Kluyveromyces lactis: one gene and its partners. The protein of the gene in region 5 purifies or fractionates together with the protein of the main gene of each other region. This does not show direct contact. Links are inferred from orthologs where the notes say so. Each region holds a gene or a part of one and is shown on either strand. Other genes may lie near its edges.

The links.
Region 1: the proteins of SPT7 (region 5) and SGF73 purify together in Saccharomyces cerevisiae (affinity purification with mass spectrometry; 17 studies listed by BioGRID, with this or other methods). This does not show direct contact. The link is inferred for Kluyveromyces lactis from reciprocal best matches to the Saccharomyces cerevisiae genes SPT7 and SGF73.
Region 2: the proteins of SPT7 (region 5) and TAF5 purify together in Saccharomyces cerevisiae (affinity purification with mass spectrometry; 25 studies listed by BioGRID, with this or other methods). This does not show direct contact. The link is inferred for Kluyveromyces lactis from reciprocal best matches to the Saccharomyces cerevisiae genes SPT7 and TAF5.
Region 3: the proteins of SPT7 (region 5) and SGF11 purify together in Saccharomyces cerevisiae (affinity purification with mass spectrometry; 11 studies listed by BioGRID, with this or other methods). This does not show direct contact. The link is inferred for Kluyveromyces lactis from reciprocal best matches to the Saccharomyces cerevisiae genes SPT7 and SGF11.
Region 4: the proteins of SPT7 (region 5) and GCN5 purify together in Saccharomyces cerevisiae (affinity purification with mass spectrometry; 28 studies listed by BioGRID, with this or other methods). This does not show direct contact. The link is inferred for Kluyveromyces lactis from reciprocal best matches to the Saccharomyces cerevisiae genes SPT7 and GCN5.

What each region holds. Positions count from the first base shown.
Region 1 is NC_006038.1:213,584-217,558, reverse strand, and holds SGF73 (deubiquitination module subunit SGF73), read left to right. Parts: upstream 1-1,340; coding exon 1,341-2,816; downstream 2,817-3,975. Other genes in the region: PGC1 (phosphatidylglycerol phospholipase), read left to right, coding at 1-765; ALG2 (GDP-Man:Man(1)GlcNAc(2)-PP-dolichol alpha-1,3-mannosyltransferase), read right to left, coding at 2,933-3,975. UniProt on the Saccharomyces cerevisiae protein: Component of the transcription coactivator SAGA complex. SAGA acts as a general cofactor required for essentially all RNA polymerase II transcription. At the promoters, SAGA is required for transcription pre-initiation complex (PIC) recruitment.
Region 2 is NC_006041.1:2,087,075-2,091,780, reverse strand, and holds TAF5 (chromatin modification protein), read right to left. Parts: upstream 3,266-4,706; coding exon 785-3,265; downstream 1-784. Other genes in the region: GPI2 (phosphatidylinositol N-acetylglucosaminyltransferase), read left to right, coding at 1-597. UniProt on the Saccharomyces cerevisiae protein: Functions as a component of both the DNA-binding general transcription initiation factor complex TFIID and the transcription coactivator SAGA complex.
Region 3 is NC_006040.1:996,962-999,830, reverse strand, and holds SGF11 (SAGA histone acetyltransferase complex subunit SGF11), read right to left. Parts: upstream 1,162-2,869; coding exon 868-1,161; downstream 1-867. Other genes in the region: ubiquitin-protein ligase RMD5, read right to left, coding at 1-633; CTA1 (catalase A), read right to left, coding at 1,511-2,869. UniProt on the Saccharomyces cerevisiae protein: Component of the transcription coactivator SAGA complex. SAGA acts as a general cofactor required for essentially all RNA polymerase II transcription. At the promoters, SAGA is required for transcription pre-initiation complex (PIC) recruitment.
Region 4 is NC_006037.1:454,956-458,978, forward strand, and holds GCN5 (histone acetyltransferase GCN5), read right to left. Parts: upstream 2,052-4,023; coding exon 501-2,051; downstream 1-500. Other genes in the region: PUP2 (proteasome core particle subunit alpha 5), read left to right, coding at 1-256; ATG7 (Atg7p), read right to left, coding at 2,485-4,023. UniProt on the Saccharomyces cerevisiae protein: Histone acetyltransferase that acetylates histone H2B to form H2BK11ac and H2BK16ac, histone H3 to form H3K9ac, H3K14ac, H3K18ac, H3K23ac, H3K27ac and H3K36ac, with a lower preference histone H4 to form H4K8ac and H4K16ac, and contributes to H2A.Z acetylation.
Region 5 is NC_006041.1:1,117,266-1,121,441, reverse strand, and holds the start of SPT7 (SAGA histone acetyltransferase complex subunit SPT7), read right to left. Parts: upstream 2,801-4,176; coding exon 1-2,800. Other genes in the region: KLLA0_E12563g (uncharacterized protein), read right to left, coding at 3,701-4,100. UniProt on the Saccharomyces cerevisiae protein: Component of the transcription coactivator SAGA complex. SAGA acts as a general cofactor required for essentially all RNA polymerase II transcription. At the promoters, SAGA is required for transcription pre-initiation complex (PIC) recruitment.

The DNA of each region.
Region 1 (3,975 bases), on a different chromosome or scaffold from region 5:
GGTGAGACGAACTTGGATGAATTACTACTGTTGAAGAGTAAGATAAATCCAGAAATCAGGATAACGACATTCAAGGACGCCTTACAATGGTTAAAAGAACACCCTACAATGAAATTTATGTTGGATATCAAGCCTACAAATGATAAGGTTCTTTTAATCAAGGCGATTCTTGAAATGAGAGCAGTAGTCGATGATTTAGATTTCTGGAGGCAACGTTTGATGTTCGGATTGTGGCAACTTGATTGGTACAAATACGGGGTCACCACGGCCACACTGAAGGGTTTCAAGATCGTGGCCATCTTACCCTTCACAGCGATGGCTACTAAATTTGTCGAATACTCTAAATCCTTGAGCGATGACAACTACAAGTTGCATGGTGTCAGTCTTCATTTCATTAACTCTTGGAAACCCGATTTCAAGAAAACTGTATTACCATACTTGCAAGAAAACAACCTTGCCGTATACCTTTGGACCGTCAATTCCGAAATTGACATCAAATATATCAGTAGTATGACCATTACCGGGATTATCGTTGATGATCCGGTAGCTTCAGTGTCAATTCGAGATGAGTACATTCGGAAAGCAGTGCCGTTTGTACCGCCAATTTTCAATAGCTCTGAAGGTTTTAGACTATACCTTAGACTTCGGGTATTCGAAGTGGCTGAAAGGATCCTTAGCTCAAGATGGGCCACTGTCCCAGTATTCCATGATATCACCTTGTTGAAAGTAACCGTTTTATTGTTAAGAAGAATCCACTTCATTTAAATGTCATTTCATTTCGTAGACAATCTATATAACACACATACCATAGGAAGTTAATATCCTGAAATATGTTATATTTAGCTTGCAATTCGATTATCGACGGACCAATTGGTGTGTGGGGGATTGACACATTCCATTAAGTCATATCACGTGATTGTAAGAACTTTCAAGTTTCCCTTTCTGAAAGTCGACGATTTCGACAGGAATAACATACCGATGGACAGAAACATTTCATAAGATAATACATGAATTCAGATGCTTGAAAGTATTTAGAGCGGGTGATCCAAAGATTTTAAAAGGCTTTTGAGATAGTTCTAACGTGTTATTTACCTGCCACAAAAGTTACTTTTGTACAATCAATATTGAGGGCTCACTTCATACCAGATTCTTTTTTTTTAACGTGCTATTTTTACCATAGTTAGGCACCAATTTGCATTACCACCGATAGACTCTGGTTTATTTTTGAAAGCTAGGTAAGGACAGTTTGATCATTGTTAGCTTGTCTCAATTCATTCATCATTTCCATCGTAATTCTCCCTATCATTTTTTTTTTACCTGGCTGATTTTGGTACAAGAGCATGTCAAGTGTCAATATAGAGATTAAAGGAATCAGATCAGACATTCAATTAGAAGATTTAGGAAGTAGCAAGAACGGTTGGAAGGAGTTACTGTCTATTGTTAAGAATAACGGGAATAGTTCGGATTTATCATCCACGGATATTCGTTCAAAATACTTGAGCAGGCCGTCAGAAGTTTTATCTGGCGTTTCTAAAGAGGATATCCGTTATAGGAATTGTACAGCTTGCCACCAGCCGGTATTGGTGTCAGCTATTATAGATCATTTAGAGAATCACTGTATTGATAAAATGCCTGTGAAAAAGAATGAGACGCAGGATATCATGTCTTCTCCTGCTAAAAGTAAGGGGAGTAATAAGAGATCCTCGTCGATAGATCCTGAGAATTTCGATTCACCTTCAAAGAAACAGAAATCATCCACTCCTTCTGGATCGACTAGAAAACAAAGGAAGATAAAACAGCGAAACCCGACAGAGCCACATCTGGTTAACTTCGATAAACAGTGTGGTGTACCATTACCTGAAGGTGGTGTTTGCGGTAGATCATTAACATGTAAATCGCACTCAATGGGAGCGAAACGTGCAGTGGAGGGACGGTCACAGCCATTTGACATATTATTAGCTGATTATCAGAAACGCAACCAGTTGAAATCTTCGGCGTCCAAGACTAGAATCCAAAAGGCACAGCAAAATCAGCAGGATCCACAAGTTAAACAAAAGGGGAAAGATAAAAACACTGGGAAAACCAGCAGCAATGAAGTGGTCAATGAGTCATTACCCAAATTGTCCCCTGAAGAAGAGACTACTCTGGTTTTGAACGGTGTTTCACGTTCATACCCACTACCGTTAGAAACTACGGTATTGACTTCTACACGATCAAGAACCAAGTACGTCAGAATGAGAGAAATGTTTGGGTCTGCTTTCAGTATAAAACCAGGCTTTAAGAGCCCTGGAGTTGGTGCGTTCCGCTCAAGGGTCGGTCTTATTGACATTGATAGAACGACTGATTATACGTTCCGTATACGTACGCCTCAACCTATTAACGCATCACCTCAAAACTTGACACCAGAACAGCTTCAAATATTACAGGCCCAACGTTTGAAACAACAACAGCAGCAGCAGCAGCAACAACAGCAACAACAACAGCGGCAACGACAATCTAGTGCTACCGGATCGTTATCTCAAATGCAAATGCAAATTCCACAGTCAGTTCAGGCTGGAAAACCTGCAGGGCAACAACCCATGATGACCCAGGGCATCACCCCTCGGGATATTCAAACTCAACAGCTAATAATGCAACAACAGCAACAGAAACTCCTGCAGAAGAAAAGAATGGAAGACGCCAGTGCTCAACTAGATACGGCTTCTAAGTTGATGCAGCAAACAATAGGCTCACCGGTTAATACTCAAAGTCGAAGCAATTCAAATCAACCTGGTGTTCAATTTGGTGTAAATGGATATGGAGGAAGAGTTAATTAGTGTAATATTTAGAAACTTAATAGCTTGTTAACGTCTGTTTTTCATCTCTTAACTTTGAGGGGTATGTGTATATATTTTGCACAAGTCGTTATAATAAATTAAGATTGGCTTCGCTTTTAAGTTGAATAGTTTAGGTAACAGAAAACGATGATCCAGTACACAGTGGCCTTTACACTTCTTAATACAAAATAAGAAATCGCAGCTAGCAATAAATATGGCCAAGAAGCATCGCCTGTTATCAACAGTGTAGCATATTGGACAGTGAACATCAGTAGCCCTGGAGCTAATGTGCTCCATAAACGCGTTCCTCTTGACTTCCAAATAATATGGTCGATGGTATTATCAAAGTTTTTGGACATCGCTTCTCTGGAGAAATAGTACTTAATACGTTTAGGACCGTTAACTTCGAATAAGGAGTGATTCTTTTCAAATATGTCTACGGATTGATCCAACACTTTTGACCATTCATCAGCATCGGATGGTCGTAACCAACCAGTTGCATCAATATGAGAAGGTGTCTCATTGTAATCTACCACTGTTTCTAGTGGACCACCCGTATCTACTGCCAAAACAGGTACACCATACTTCATAGCCTCGAGTGGTACAATTCCAAAGTGTTCGTTAGAAGGAGTGTATAGCAACATTTCAGTACTTTGCAATAGTAATTCCTTGAGAGACGATGACACAGAAGTCAAAAACAATATTTGAGCATCAGCGAAGTTACTTGATGGACACTTGTCAGGACTCTTGGAGTATTCTGGATATGAAAGATGAACGTGCTTCAATTTCAATTCAGTGGCCAAAGTTTCCAATTCTTTTAGATAGTCGATATTCTCGGAATTATTCAAATCGTAACCTCCAGATATAAATAGTTTATGGGAGGTACGTTGTTTTGATTGTGCAAAAGCAGTGATAGCCAATTCAATGTTTTTTTTCCTTTCGTATCTGTTGATAGATAGATAATACTTTTCATTGTTCTTCAAGATCTTCTTCATAAGATCTTTATCTAAAGGAAGTATTTCTTCTTGCTCTACGTTTACACAAGGGTAAACCACTTTAGGGTCAACGGCTAGTGACTGGAACGTTTTGGCAAATACCTGCTTTGTAAAATTAGAATTAACTAGAATAGTATCTGCTACACCCATGGTAAATTGTTCCA
Region 2 (4,706 bases), about 970 kb from region 5:
CATTACAAATACAATCCGATTTTAATTGCTGCCTCAATTTCATCTGTTTCCTTAATAGTTGCCAACAAGAGGGTACCCTGGAAATCCACTATCATCATTATATTTGCAATGTTGACCTTATCTCCAGTGCTTAAATCTTTGTCCAAGACAACTTCGTCCGATTCCATCTGGACTCTATCTGCATGGTTCACAACCTTTTACATCATATCGATCTCCGCTCTTGAATCTAAAATCCTACCGACCAATATTCTACTCTCAAATGTGACCGTACTTTCTTCAAGATTAGATACCTCCACCCAAGTTTTCTGTTTCCTTTTGATATGTATCCAAATTAACATTCTACTGCCGACGATGGAAAAGTATTTCATAAAGAATAAGTTGAAATTCCTGCATATACTATGTGTTATTGCGACACATGGTACAGTCTACTATTTTATAACGAAGTTAATGGGTGTCGGGATCACGATACCTTTGGGAATATCATCTTTGTTACTATTATTTGGAATCCCTCATTACTATATCCACTGGGAAAGCTACTATTATAAAGGACATCCGATTTTACAGCAGTGGGACGCTGAAAAACCAATATTAGATTAGTTATTAGGATTCTGTTAACATTTACATTTCATTGACTGCATTGATATCAATGCACATAAAATATACGTACTCATTGTAAATAATATAAAGATAAAGCGCATTCTCTTTTTTTTTATTTATTACAATTGGACAACTACTAGATATGTCGAATAAACGACCCTTATCTGGCTGAGTAAAGTAATCGCATTTACTCAATAAATGCACCACCAGCCAAAACTAGGTTCGTTCTTGTGAATTTTACTTTGTGAATTGCTGTTTTCTTTGTATGGAACGAAGCCATCAAATCCTGAGTTGGTATTACTGCCCGCCTACGTCCGAATTCTTTGATATCGTTATTTACACTGAGTTCCATATCTCCTGAATACGTGTTGAATTGTTGTTCCGGCTCCATTCCAGGCTCGTTTGTAAACCTCTTTATATCCCAAACTCTAACACTTTGATCCGCACCACCTGTTACTAGACAGTTACCTTCTTTGTTAAAAGTTATGGAATAGATAGGATTCTTACCGTGACCCTTCATCTGTTTGATTCTTTTACCAGTACCAATATCCCATACGATAATTGTGCCATCCTCACTGCCCGTAGTTAACCACCTACCGTCAGGCGATACTTCAAGTGCGGTGACTGGTGATGTATGTCCCAAAAACAGTCTAACAGAATCACCTGTTTGAATATCCCACATACGGCACGTTTTGTCGCTGGAACCAGTGAAAACATAGCAACCATTTGGATGGAAAGTGCTACAATCCACGTCATTTAGATGACCTGAGAAAATTCTCAACGGATAGATATGATCACAAGACCATAGTCTAGCCGTTTGATCATGTGAAGCGGTGATGAAATAATGGCCAAGTGGAGAAAACTTGACGTACCATACTGGATGGTTATGGCCTTTGTAACACACTAGGCAAGTGAACGTATCTAAAGACCAAAGTCTGACAGTTTTATCTTCAGATGCGCTAAGTAAGTACCTGTTATCCGGGCTGAATGCAACGGAATAAACTGGTCCGCTGTGTCCTACCAAAGTAGCAGAGTTCGATTGGTCTTTAGCTTTGGATGGGAGGATCGACTGTAGCGGTGATCCATCAAGGTACCATACCTTAATTGTACTGTCTTGGAAACCAGCTGCAGTTAGTCTAGCATCATCACTAAATTCTACGCAAGTCATATTACCATTAGTGTTGTGGAAAGTGTACATACACACACTTGGTGCAGAAGTTTGTAGGTTTTTCAATTGGATGGAATCTCTACTCTCCCTTACTTTTTGAATTTCCATCTTTAGATCTAAAGTTGTTTTTACCGGTAGCGGCAACGAATCCTTTGCTGGTGATTCCATCATAGATCCAATTGAAGCCTCTGGTTTTTCTTCCTCGTCTTTATTCTTTGAGTCTCTTTTCTTTCTTTCAGCAGCCGATGATTCGACACTAAGTGTAGGAGTGCCTTTCTCTTCTGTATCTGCTGTTGCATCGACTTCTTCTCCACCCTCTTCAGCTTCAGGTTCCTTATTTTCATTTTCTTCCTTAACGGTGTTATCATCAGCTTTTTCAGTGCCCTCTGGTTTGTTCTGATTACCGTTCATTTCTCTATATTCCTCAACTAATGTCTTACCGACAGGTTTATCCTTATTCTCAGCTGCCTCTTGTTCATCTTTTTTCTGCAACTCAATCTCTACTTCCTTGGTGAACTCTTCGTCCTTTGGATACGGTCCTAACTTCACAGGTACCGAGTTATACGTATCAACATCAATATCACCGGTTGAGATATCTTTGATCCCGTCGGTGAGAATATCCTCAGATTTGACAACATCTACGATATTTGGATCCAAGTTTTGGTTTATGATGGAAATCAACAAAGATCCTCCCACACTTTCGTTTTCGTTCAAGAAATACAACAAAAGGTTCAAAGTAGTTCTTGAGATTGTGATCTTATATTTATTGGTTTGGAAACCTTGAGCCAACTCATTTTCCTTGATGTGATCTACTGAGTTGACACTGAATAATCGGTTAATTTCTGATCCATGAAGGGCTTTGTAATCGACAGAATACTTGTCAAAGAATCTTCTCGCTTGTAAGGGGTCCTTGATGACCAACTGTAAAAAAACGTAAATGAAAATCGGGTATATGATACGTGATAGCTCAGGTTTGTACAATTCTAAAGACGAATCGATCCAATTTTTCAACATTGAGTAAGCTCTAAAATAGTGCAAGGGTGTCACCTGTTGCGGTTTTATCAATTGGCCGTTGTTATCTCTTTTCAAGGGCATCGAAGGATTTGAAACAGGTTTTGCAGTGGTAGTACTTCCTGTAATCGCAGTGGCTGATGCAGACGAGGCAGGGATTGTGTTAGAAGCAGCAGCGTTTTTATTTGGAGGCGTCAAAGTACGTGACGATTCAGCACGAAGCATCTGTTCCGTTCTGTGATACCCCTTCTTATTCAAATATTCCAAAACGATGCGGTTCAAATCTGACGCTGAAAACCCCGGTTTAGAAGCTGCCGGTGCATTCCCACTGGCACCGCTACCGCCAGCATTGGCATTAGCGCTAGCATTTCCGGCCGCACTACTATTTCCATTGCCACTACTTCCGCCTGCACCGGGAGCCGTGGCTCCTGACGCTCCCCCAGCTGCATCGCCTGCCTTGTTTCCCTGTTGTTTGCCGTTCGAAGACATATTAAGCAAGCCGGAAACTGTGCTAAGAGGTTCTTCTCTTTCACGCTTTTTTTTTTTAAAAGGCTAAGCAAGTATACCTAGTTCCTTATTCAGCTTACTCCTAAGCTCAAGTACTGGTATAGTTCAAGCTTGCTAAGGCAATGATTTAGCAATCATTTGCTGTTTATTTGTTTACTTATTCATTCACATTTTTCAGTTTTATTTTTTTCCATATTCAACTTTCAACCTGGAAACTACTCTCAGACACAAAGTAACTGGCATTTAGAGATCTGAATTAAAGGTCACGTTTTACGGATTCAAGAATTATCTTTTCAGTACATCTCCGGGTAACAGGTTGAACAGCCCCGGAGTCCACAGCACGTTTTTAGACTTCGATTCGAACTTTATTTTAATTTTTACTCGCAGAACGCAGTTAAGCTACATATCTAGAGAACCCAGTATAAAATATATGTGTACAGAGAAACAGTGGGGAGAGGCTTTAAAGGGTCGGGAATTTTGCAGTGGCCTTGGGTGGGTAAATGAAGATCCCTATTTCACGATGCCAAAGCCATACCCCCCACAAATGACTTCCTTTTCGTTTTTCCATCCAGGGGTAGGAGTCCAGTAATTGGATCTGGATTCGTGTTTTTCAACTTCCAAAGAAGGGATGCTTATTTTGCGGGATGCCAGTTACCAATGTACATACTACGGGGGTACCTTCATTTGACGTGGCAATTGGAGGTAATGCGTGCCGCGTCTGTAATATAACAGAAATTATAAGTCACGTTGCCCTTATTTTACTATTTCGTTACCCGGTTCATGTAAAAATAATCCCATTGGGGTTCCACTAATGTCAGGAGACGAAGTTGAACAGCAATGAAACGGTGAAGTTGGGAAAAAAAACAAGAATTCAAGCACGAAAGTTGGAAAATTAAAGGAATTCGCCTTCTTCTCAGTTCTGATACTTGTCTTTCCATCGTCAAACGTTGCTCCATCTCATCGCAAGGCCCATCAGATACACTAGCAAACCGTTCTAAAACGCCAGCTGCTTCTTCTATAGAAAAGCCATACGCCGTTGAGTCACTGCGTGAGTGAATCAGTAGGTCTGTGAGTAGGATAATCTTTCCTATTGTACGTCGATTTAGATTTGCCAAAAAAGCGTTTGTTTCTAGTGCAGAAATCAGGGTATTTTTTCCTGCTTATTCAATTTCGGTGAACAAAGGCAACCAGGAAGATACAGAGTCAGCGGTGAGAAAGACATTGGACGAGGCATTCCAGTGGAAGATTTGATCTAAACAAGTTTGGCAAACCAATTATCGCCGTCCTTTTTTCTTTTCTCTGTTTTCTTTCCCTTTTGATATCTTTCCGGAAGCTGGAATCAGCTTTTAGTTTGAAACCATTCTGAGTTTTGAAGCTTTCTTACTGTTTCAGAACCATTAGGTAATCCTTCCCTTCGCGTTTC
Region 3 (2,869 bases), on a different chromosome or scaffold from region 5:
CATAGGTTTATTTTCAGACAACAATGACATCGCGTTTAGGTAATGTAATTGGAAATGAAGTACTTCCAGGTTATTATCCTGACACCATCGGATACAGGTATTCAAGTTGCCTGATCTCATTTCTTTAACAATGTTGGCCATTTCTATATAATCCATTGCAATAGATCTGGGGATCCTATACGTAGAGTGCAAATACTTCAGCATTTCATCTGACGTGGTTCCTACAGCCATATTAGTATAATACCTTGCGATGTGAGAAAAGATCGCCGTATCCAAATAGTACAATTTCTGAGGGTTTATCTTGTTCACATAAACAGAATCCAATTGAAACTCATTCAAGGGCTTGACGCACGCCTTTGAAAACTTCCGGTAAGTGCTGATAGAAGAGTTTAAGGATTTCTTCATGGAAGAATCCCAGTTCTTATGAGATTTCGCTAGTTTCTCCCTAATAACAAGACGTTTCTGTGGACTTGATCCATGCTTCAGCAAATGCGCTTTCAATTTCTTCAACTGGATCTTAAAGTCGTGCACTTCTTCAACACATTTCCCAAGCTGGGTCCTGCGCTCGTCTTTATCAACGTATAATCTGGAATTGACCCATTGTTGATCTAAAGTCTCTAGCAAAGTCGACATAAGTAACTCAGTTTAATTCTCTGAAGGGTACTTGCTAGTTCTAGTGTCTCTAACTTTCCGCTCTTCTGTAGAGTAACACCTGACAACTCTTTACACCGTTATAATGATGGGTTAAAGATCGTTATCACAGGTTTAAGGGTACAGGGTACGATGCTGGACAACTTGATTTGAAATGACACACATTATGGGTTTGGGGGAAGATTTAAGGCTGCACTAAGGCTGGGTAATGAAATCTCACCTTCTACCACGTGATAAGCATCTAACGAGATGAGCAGCGAACCTGTTCCCACTAACTTCCCGTCCACAGACATTACATTCGATGTAAACGGCGGAGTCTGCTTGCTTTGCCTTACCGTGTATATCCAATGTTCCTGACGGGTCAGCGTAATACGGTTTAGCATCCGGGAATTGCAGTTTCAGAAGCTTTCTCTTCACTGTTTGACGCGAGATGATATCTTGGATGATAGAAGTAAGAATGTTCTGATATATGGAATCGGCAACCGAATCTGTGGTCAAAGAAGCAGTCATGGTTACAGCCACCTCTTGATAGTTGCAAATACTGAATAAGTCAAGTCAGTACTGTTGTCTTATGTCTGATCGTAGAACAGAATTGATTGTTTCAATATCAAAGTAAGCTAATTTGACCTTGCTTTTCTATTAAAATTGGATATTGCAGAAAATTGACGATAAGCACAGGGAATACAAGCAGAATACAAGAGACAACAGTCGACATGTTAGCGGCTACAATGCCTGATACCATGCATCTCATTACGGACAGATATTAATAGTATACTTGTAATAAATATGGGGATAAATAAAACGTACATACAAAGCGGAAAGAGATAGAGAGAGAGAAAGAAAGCACAGCTAATTCTCTCTATAACTTTGCATTCAATGCAGCAGCCTTTCTTGGGGATAAGCTCAGAGCTTCCTTTTTGATGTTTTCAGATAGACCACGGTCGACTCTTGCAAACATGGCAAATACACGGTCTTGGATTTCAGGGCATGCACTTGCTACGTGTACTGCGACATTGTGGGCCAATGCCTTTTGTTGACCTGGCTGTTTGCTCAACACTTTGTTATACAAGTCTCTGGCTTGAACGAAATCGATGTCTCCTGGTGAGGTTGCCCAATGTACAGGCATTGCAGGCCCAGACCATACTTCTTGATGTTGTTGAATTGGCTTTGATTGTTGAATGAATTGGTACTTCTTAGAAGTAGACAAATAGTTTGGCTCTTTGCCCAAATTGCCGTTAACGTTCATTGGGCCATCTCTGATAGCTGGGTTGAAAACCTTCGATGCATATGGACAATTAACAGGGATTTGAGAATAGTTAGGGCCTAATCTGTAACGATGGGCATCTGGATAAGAGAACAAACGTGCTTGTAAGACAGGGTCAGCAGAAGCTTCTTGGTATGGGACGGTGTGCGATGGGGAGAATGCAGCCTGTTCCACTTGAGCGAAGTAATTTTCTGGATTTTCATTCAAAACCATCTTACCTACACGACGCAATGGGAACTGCTTATGAGGCCAAACTTTTGTTAGATCGAATACAGAGAATGGCAATTTTTCTGCCTCTTCTTCGGTCATAGTTTGAATGTAAAGGGTCCAAGATGGGTAATTACCCTTGGCGATGTTTTCAAACAAATCCTTTTGACAGTAGTCAGGGTTTTCACCAGCCAACTTAGTCGCCTCCTCGTTGTTCAAGTTCTTAATACCTTGATCTGTCTTCAAATGCACTTGCACGTAGCGCCATTCACCTTGCTTGTTAGACCATTTGTAAGTATGACCCGAGTAACTGTTCATGTTACGATAAGAAGCTGGAGTACCACGATCGGAGAACAAGATCATCACTTGATGAATTGCGACTTGATTCTCCTCTGTCGTCAAAAAGTCCCAAAACATGTCAGCATCCTTCATATTGGTTTCTGGGTTTCTCTTTTGAGTATGAATGAAATGTGGGAACTTAGAAGGATCTCTGATGAAGAAGACTGGCGTGTTGTTGTTGACCCAGTCGACATTCCCTTCTTCACTATAGAACTTGATAGCGAACCCTCTTGGGTCACGTGCCGTATCGGCAGAACCCTTCTCACCACCAACAGTACTAAATCTAACAAGGCATCGCGTTCTCTTCCCCACGGTATCGAACATCGCTGAACCGCACACGTCCGTGATATCATCTGTAATTTCTAAGTACCCAAACGCACCTGATCCATGAGCATGAGGGTTACGTTC
Region 4 (4,023 bases), on a different chromosome or scaffold from region 5:
TGCACAATCAGAATTACAAAACGAATGGCATTCATCGCTTACTTTGAAAGAGGCGGAATCGCTGGTGTTAAAGATCTTAAAGCAAGTAATGGAAGAGAAATTAGATGAAAATAATGCACAATTGAGCAGTATCACAAAAGAGGGATTTCAAATCTATTCAGATGAGAAAACTGCTGAAATTATAAAAGAGTTAAAGGAAAAGGAAAAGGAGGAGAAGCCTCCTGGGTCCGAACATTCGGATGTCGAAATGGAGTGATAGATTACACTCCTTGTCTTTCGAAACACGTTATTAATCAACAGAAAATCGATTATAAAATTTCATTATTTCTCTAATCATGGATTGCTTGTATACATACAGGAGCTCCTTCTGAGCCTTTTAATGTTACACTTTCGGTATATGTATATTTATACATATCATATATATATGTGCCAACTTTCGCCATGTAGACTGTTCAGGTACGCAAAGATATCGACAAATTAGTATTTCATTATCGTTAGTATTAATCCACAAGATGTGAATACTCTGGAATCTCTTTGACTTTAGAATTGAAGAATTTTTCTAGACGATTTGCGTACTTGAAATAAGATGTGTTTTCACCGTTGTACGCACGACAATTGTTAAATATTAACCTTGCATCATATATGAAATTTTCCATCTTTTCGTATCTGTTCCCGTTTAGTTTCATTTCCATAGAACTCAAATCCATTGGTTCCTTAATAAATTCGTAATAGTCGGGGACTTCTTCCTTATTGACGGGTTGCAAAAAGGGCCATGCCGCTGCATGATTTTGCAATTCGGTGAGAAGATTTTGCATTGCTGCATAATGAGGGCCACGTTTTGGTCTCTGCGCCAGTTCGTCCATTTCTGGAGTCCAGCCAGCTTCTTTTAAACCAGGTATTGTCATTGGATCGATGGGTTTTATATTATCAAGATCCAAGAACTGTTTCAAACCTGGACGAACTATGTGAGATTGAGAAATGCTACGAATTTTCCTTCTAATTGCTGCTTCTTGCAATAAGAGGATTTTTGCTGCATCAAGATACCGGATTCTTGGCAGCATGGAACATTGCATTAAGGTACCACCTTCATAATCCTTTATGTATCCCATCCAGACATTCTTGTCCAATGTGATCTCTTTCGTGAATCCCTGCTTCTTGAAATACCCGATAGCATAATTATCCGCATATGTTAGAAAATACTTTATTGGCGATGTTGCCCTCACGTAATCTTTTAAATGATTCATTAAATGTGCACCGTAACCTCTGACTTGTTCGGTCGAACTAATAGCACAGAAGACAATTTCTGCGAACTCTCTTTTATCAAAAGGTCTATAGGTTATTCCACCAACAACAGTCAACGGTTTCCGTACCACGGCCATAGAAAGATGTGAACGATCGTAAACTAAACGAGCAATATATTCTTTGGGCATCTTAGGCAATTGCTTTTGAAAGATATTCTTTAACCCTGTTAAAACCATCATATTTTCCTTGCTATTATCATTATTAACCACTCTGAATTCAATCTTTCCTTCCTTCTCTTCTATTACACTAGGTCTGTCTTTATAACTGTATTCTTGACCATCAAAGTCAAATTTTGTTGTGCCGGCCTCTTCATCAACGACCTCATTTTCAACTATAGGAGATGTATCCGTCTTTTCATTTGCTTCTTCCTCTAATTGTTTCTCTTCAGCCTTGGTAGTTGTACTACTGGCATTGTAGTCATTGACTGGTGATTCAACGACCTCTTCATTCGTTGTAACTGATTCGATTTTGTCTTCCACTGTTTTTACGGATTCCCCCGCAACTTTTGTTTCAGAAGTTCCGTTCTGTGCATCTATAGGTCCGTCCTCTTCCTTCTGGTCTTCCTTCTGGTCTTCCTTGCTCGTCTTGTGTTCTAAATCATCGGTAACATCTTCATCAACTGCAGATCCGCCATCGATTTCAGTTTCCACAGGCTCATCTTTGGGTTTGATTTCCTCTTTTACAGTGTCAACTTTTCCCCTCTTATTCTGGACTCTTCCAGCACCATGGTGGCGTCTCTTCGGTGGCATTTGGTGCTTAGCTTCTTGTCTACGTGTGACTATTTATCTTGTCTACGTGTGACTATTTATCCTGTCTACTCGACCTAATATATATTCCCGTTCTTGTATGCTTTGGTAATTTTTCAAGTTGATTTATACATCCGTACACCACAGTCGGATAACGAGTTTAGTCTACATCTAAAACATGCCTGGTATAAGCTGATGGATCACGGAAAAAGGCCCAGTTATGTAGGTGTACCAAGCCCGTCATGGCGTAATACGCTGCAAATTGTGCAAGACTTATATTTATCTTGGGAATTATAAAACTAAATTTCATCCTGACCGTTAAATCAGAGATAAACACCTTTTCCTAACGACGAATATCGATTTCTACGCTTCATCACAAAAGGAATGCATGTCACATCATTCCACGCATCAGCCTGTCAGATGCACTGGCTATACTTCACTCTATTGACAATTCCTCGTCGTCATCAAAGGAAATATCTTCTTGAATTGCCAATTCAGCCTCCTCTTGCACCTTCGACAGTCCACTTAATTGCTCCACACACTTATAATCATCTAGCGCCTGTTTCACGAAATTCCATCCGTTTTCCTTTAGAGTTAAAATGACATTTTCATTGCTTGCACAACAGTGCTGATATGCCGGTGTTTCAAGTTTTACAGTTTTAAATTCATTTAGAAATCCTCGTATTTGATGCGGAGCTGACCCAAGCACGTTCGTCGAAGGCTGAAGATATGTCACCAATAATTCAACAGCCTGGGAAGCCGCTAATAGGGCAACACCCGGTCTAGTTACAGTACACATCTGATCTAATGTTCTGTCAGTTAGAGAATCACTTGGGGCCACGATATCGTTACAGAAATAGCAACCCAGGTTGTCATTATTGTTGCCATGTCTCATTACCAAATAACTGTCAAAACCAAGGGCCGCATTAATAACTATTTTTTCATGCATTCGTCCAAGCACCGAGGGAAGCCATCTCGTCTCGCGTGCATCCATTAAAAGAAATATAACATCATGCGTCCTTATAAGCTCGTCCAAAATTTCATAATCCTTCCTCTGCTTGCTTTCGTTCGATACAGGATGTCCTATCATTGGTATTTCCAATTGATAACCTGCAGAAACGACAGAAGGAAATATCTTCTTCAGAGAGTCACTGGCAGCTTCGGCCTTTGGTCGCCCACAATCTTCAAAGTTGAATAATGGTTGCCTTACCGGATTAGAGAAAGAGACAGTGCTGTTGTCGACAAAAGTTACATGACGAGTACCCCAAGCTAATAAAGCTCTAGCCACGTAGCAACCTAGGGTACCTGACCCCAAGATCAATGCTTTAATGTTCTTTATTCTTTCTAGATCAATGTCAGGAGCAATCCTCCATTTCATTAGCTTGAGATTGAGATCAATGGATTGTTCTGCTATCTTCACGGGATCCATCAATGAGCTTAAGTCAGCCGATTTCGGAGCTAATTTTCCAAGACCATTTTTCTCCCAACCGCTGACCTTAAGACATCCTGTATTGCTCCCGGTAACTCTGATCTCTGCCGCGAAGCTGGAATTATCATCACGAAGGAAACATATGGTGTACGTATTCCTTGTGGATATTTGACTCCAAACCGTTAGAAAGTTCTTAGTAACTGCGGCAGGAATGCCCTTCAGCCGACTGAAGTCCTTGAAGATGACTTTCTGACATACTTTGAGATACTGAGGTGATGCTTCCTGAATCTTTCCATCCACAACACAGGAGATAAAGCTGTTCTGCTCCCATATATCCTTCTTTACACCATCTTCGATTGATTTTGTTGAGATTATTTCGTACGATGACCCCTCAGACTGGAAAGTAGGCATACAAACCCAATAATAAAACTTATATTTCTTCAAATCGGCGAAGCTTATGACATAAAACCTAACACACTCTTTGAGACCATTCTTGAGGCCCTGTTCTAGTAATTGCTGTCCCTTTTCCTTGATAAACTTTACTTT
Region 5 (4,176 bases):
ATTCTTTGAACCTTAGCGGTTGTTGTGAATTTTTGGGTTTATTTGGATTTTGTAGTGCTCTAATCAAAGAAATTTTATGACATATATGCCTAATCTCATGTATCAACTGGATATTCGTGTTCATTTTTGGACTCAACCCCTTATCGACAGTATTCAACAAAGAGCTCTTCATTACTTTTCCTTCCTTCATAATTTTTTGAACCATAGCTTCCTCAGCTTTATCTAATTGTTCTTTCCCAATACCTGTATATGCCAAGTCCGGGATATAATTAGTGATGTTGTACTCTGTCAATAACGAAGAATCTTCGAGAGTGATTTCATTCGATTCTTTAGTCAAGGAACTTTCGGCATCTTGTGATTTAACGTTCGTGTCAGAAAAATTCGATACACTGCTATCTGCTTGGTTCATTATTGCCCCAAAACCGTTTTTCATCATTGACTGTTCTTGTAATTTTTGTCTTGCAAATTCTGCTTCTTTCTGTTGCTTATACTCCTCGAAGAACTGATCAAAATTCTTTAATTTAGAAGGATTTTTCAAGAGGGCATCAGATTCGGAATTAATTTTGTGTTCGTTGAACAATTGTGATCTTTTCAAACAAATTTCAGCACGGGCTTTGGCTGTAAGTGTTTTCCATGTGGACAATTCCAGATCGTCCTTATCGTCATCTCGTTCAAGAAGCATCATTCCAGCGGCATTATCTTCTTCATCTTCATCCTCTTCCTCTTCCTCTTCTTCTGCATCCTCATGTTCTTGGTTTTTTTCAACAGTTGACACTGCTTTACTTTCAACTGCTGGTTCAGTAGATTCGTTATTAGTCGAAGATTGAGCCACTTTGGAGCCTCTCCCCTCTGCAGAAACTATGCCAACTTCTGGCGTTTGTTCAGCTTCGTTAGTGGAAGGTGTTTTGTCACTGCTTACTGTTTTATTGGTGGATTGTTGTTGATTCCGTTCAGCATCAGTTGCTCGTGTTTTTTTACCTCCAGGATGGTTCTCTTCCATTTCTTCTTCTTCATCGTCAATAACCTTTTGAACACCACGTCTCTGAATACCCTTACGACCTGAACCAGCATCCTCTTCATCGTCTTTAATGTTGCTCTCGGCGTCTATATCTTCTAGTTCTTTTTCAACTTGCGCTCTATCACGGATTGTTATATCTGGTATTAGTGGTACTAGTTGTTGAGATTTCTTCTGCATCGCAATTGCATGGGCTCTCAAGAAATGCTTAGGATCCGAGTTATACGTGAGGCAGTTTCTCCATATTAACATAATATCATCAACAAACTCATGTTTAGATTTATACTGAAAAGTTTTGAGCTTCTTCAGCACAGTGTTCAAATCCATTGGTTTTTTAATTATTTGGTAATAGTTTGGAGCTTCTCTCTTGCTGACTTTGTTAAGAAATGCAGTAGAATGCTCTGTGAAATTTCTGAGTTCCAGTACCACCTTCTCGCATGCATCGTATAATTCTTCTTGTCCAATTTTATCTTCAGAAGCCCATTTAGATCTGTTCATTCTAACATCCATTAATAAATGTTTAAGTTCGTAATCTGAAATATCTAGCTTACTTTTATTTTCCTGTACCGATTTGAGCAAATGCCTTAATGACAGATTTACGACACCGAGGTCCATTTGGATATCTGCTTTAGTCTTAGTATTGATCTTCTTATCTGCCGCAGACTTATGATGAGATATGCTAGGGTTCCCTGAGTCATCCTCTTCTTCGTCTTCAATCTGTTCGTGAGACCTTTTCCTTGAGCTTTCTAGCATTTGATCATTTTCCTGAAGTTTTAAACGCCTCATAGTGGTCTCTTTATCATTGTCAAAGAGATGATATATTTTGTGAAAGTTACCGATGATATCGTAGGTATTTACAGATGGAAGTTCGTTCAAAGTTTCCTTTGAGATGATGAAATGCAGTCTTATGAGTCCGTTATCAAGTTGCTCGTAAATTGGCGATTCAGTTTCATCTGACACTTTGGGTTTCTCATCAAGATCATTAGGATGAGAGATTTTTCCATTTTCTGTATCATTTTTTTCTATCTTTTGAGGATCTTCTTCAGCATCATCGTAATTATCCTCGTCGTCGTCATCATCATCTTCATCATAGTTATCATCTTCATCAGAGCCTTCTTTGTTTTCGCTATTCTTGCTCACTTCTTTCATAGTCAAGGGTGCTGTGTCATTTGTAGGAAGCGTGGAAGAGTTGGGAACCGCACTTTGATCTATAAGAGTATTATTACTTCCATCCTCTATTACAGCGCTATCATTATCCGTGTCAAGTAGAAGGTATTCTGAGGATGTTTCTGGCTCAAGGAGAGTGAGTCCATGTTCCCATACAACGTACCTGACTTTCATAGATAAATTTCCTATAAAATCCAGTCCATCTAGCTGGGCCTTCAATTGTTCCAAATCGATCATATCACTGTCGTCATCGTCAACACTTTGGTTATCAGTCGAATCATGTAAAGGAGTGCCAGTTCTCGAGAGTCCAGAACTAGCTTGAGGTTGTTGTTGTGTTGATAATGATGGTAATCTGGTAGCCGCTACCAAATCATTAGTGGCACCTTTGTCGGAAGTTGCATTAAGAGTTGTATTCAGTTCTACAAATAGTTCCAACTTGCCGGAGAGAAACGCATCCCATATAAGTGTCTTTGATTCTTGGTCTGGTAGACTCAACAAGTACTTCAATAAAAGTAACTGACTCGGATTGAGGTGCTTTTTAAATACATCATCTGCGAATAACTTCTGGATGGTTCGAAGTATTGCGGCGGCATCGGACCGCTGGTAACTTGTAATCATGGACAGTCAACTTTTTCCGCAGAAAGAACCACTAGAGTAAATAAAGAGTAGTTTTGAAGGAAAATTCTGAATCAATTCCTTCACTACCAGCTCGCTTGCCTCTCGTTTTACTGATACAAGCTGTAAACGGCACGACTTTTGAGTGTATGGTCCGAATCTTGTTTGTCCATCAGTTGCACCGATTGTCTGTGTTTTCCAAAATTCACGAAATGTCAAAAAACATCAAAACGTATAAAGTGATATTGGGACAGTCATACGGCTTATTCGTTTCAGCGGCGCTTAGCCTTAACATACAAGAGTTGAGTATCCAACAGCTCTACCCAGTTGTATCTATATATATAGGACTAGTTGTGGTAGGTTTTTAGTACCTAGGTAAGCATTGATAAATTGATTTTCACTAGCTAGAATGATCAGGCGTATGTCTCTCCATTTCTATAATTGTGACCAAATTGGCACATTCAGAAACCAATGTCTGTGGACAAAAACCAGTCTTGAAAAGTCTTGAAAAATCTTGTATAATTATAACCAATGGTTCTAGCTTACCTGTCGGAAACAGTCGTCTAATGGAAATGAAATATATCAAAATTATACGGTATATATACCTACATGTACCATGAGCACATACACAATATAATATAAAGAAAATTGGTGCGTTAATATATATACTATTCTTTCTAATACTTTAAACCTTGAAAGCTTGAAGTTGAGAATTGTGTCAGAAGAAGTCCAAAACGATGTGAGTTGAAAGTACCGATAACAAAAAGGGGTAGGATATACAATGGTGGAAGGTTTGAGTATTTTTTTAGTCGGATTAAGATGATATTACTTTCCGCCGAACCCTGTCCTTTTGTAGTATTCTTTTCTTCGGTTCATTCTTCTTTTTTTTTTGTTATATTTCTTTCAAATAGCATACTTCTTAGTCCATTCTCTAGCAGTAGCCTCGTACTTAGCTCTATCGGTCTTATACAAATGAGCGATTTCAGGGACCAAAGGATCATCAGGGTTAGCGTCTGTTAGAAGAGAACAAATGGACAACAAGACCTTAGAGATAGTTAAAGCTGGAGACCATTGATCTTTTAGGATATCTAGACAGATGTTACCATTAGCGTTGATATTTGGGTGGTAGATCTTAGTGGTGAAAGAGATCTTTGGTGGTTTGAAGGGGTAATCTGTTGGGAAATGGATTGATAGGAAGAAAACACCGCCTGCATATGGGGAATCTGGAGGACCCATGATAGAGGCTTGCCAGTGATATACATCATCACCTACTGGACCAGCAGAGCATGAAGTTGGGGGGTCTCTGGAGGGAAAAAAGAGGGAAATGCGATTTTTTCCAATAGAATGTTAGTAAAAGAGAAAAAGTGGGATTAACAGAG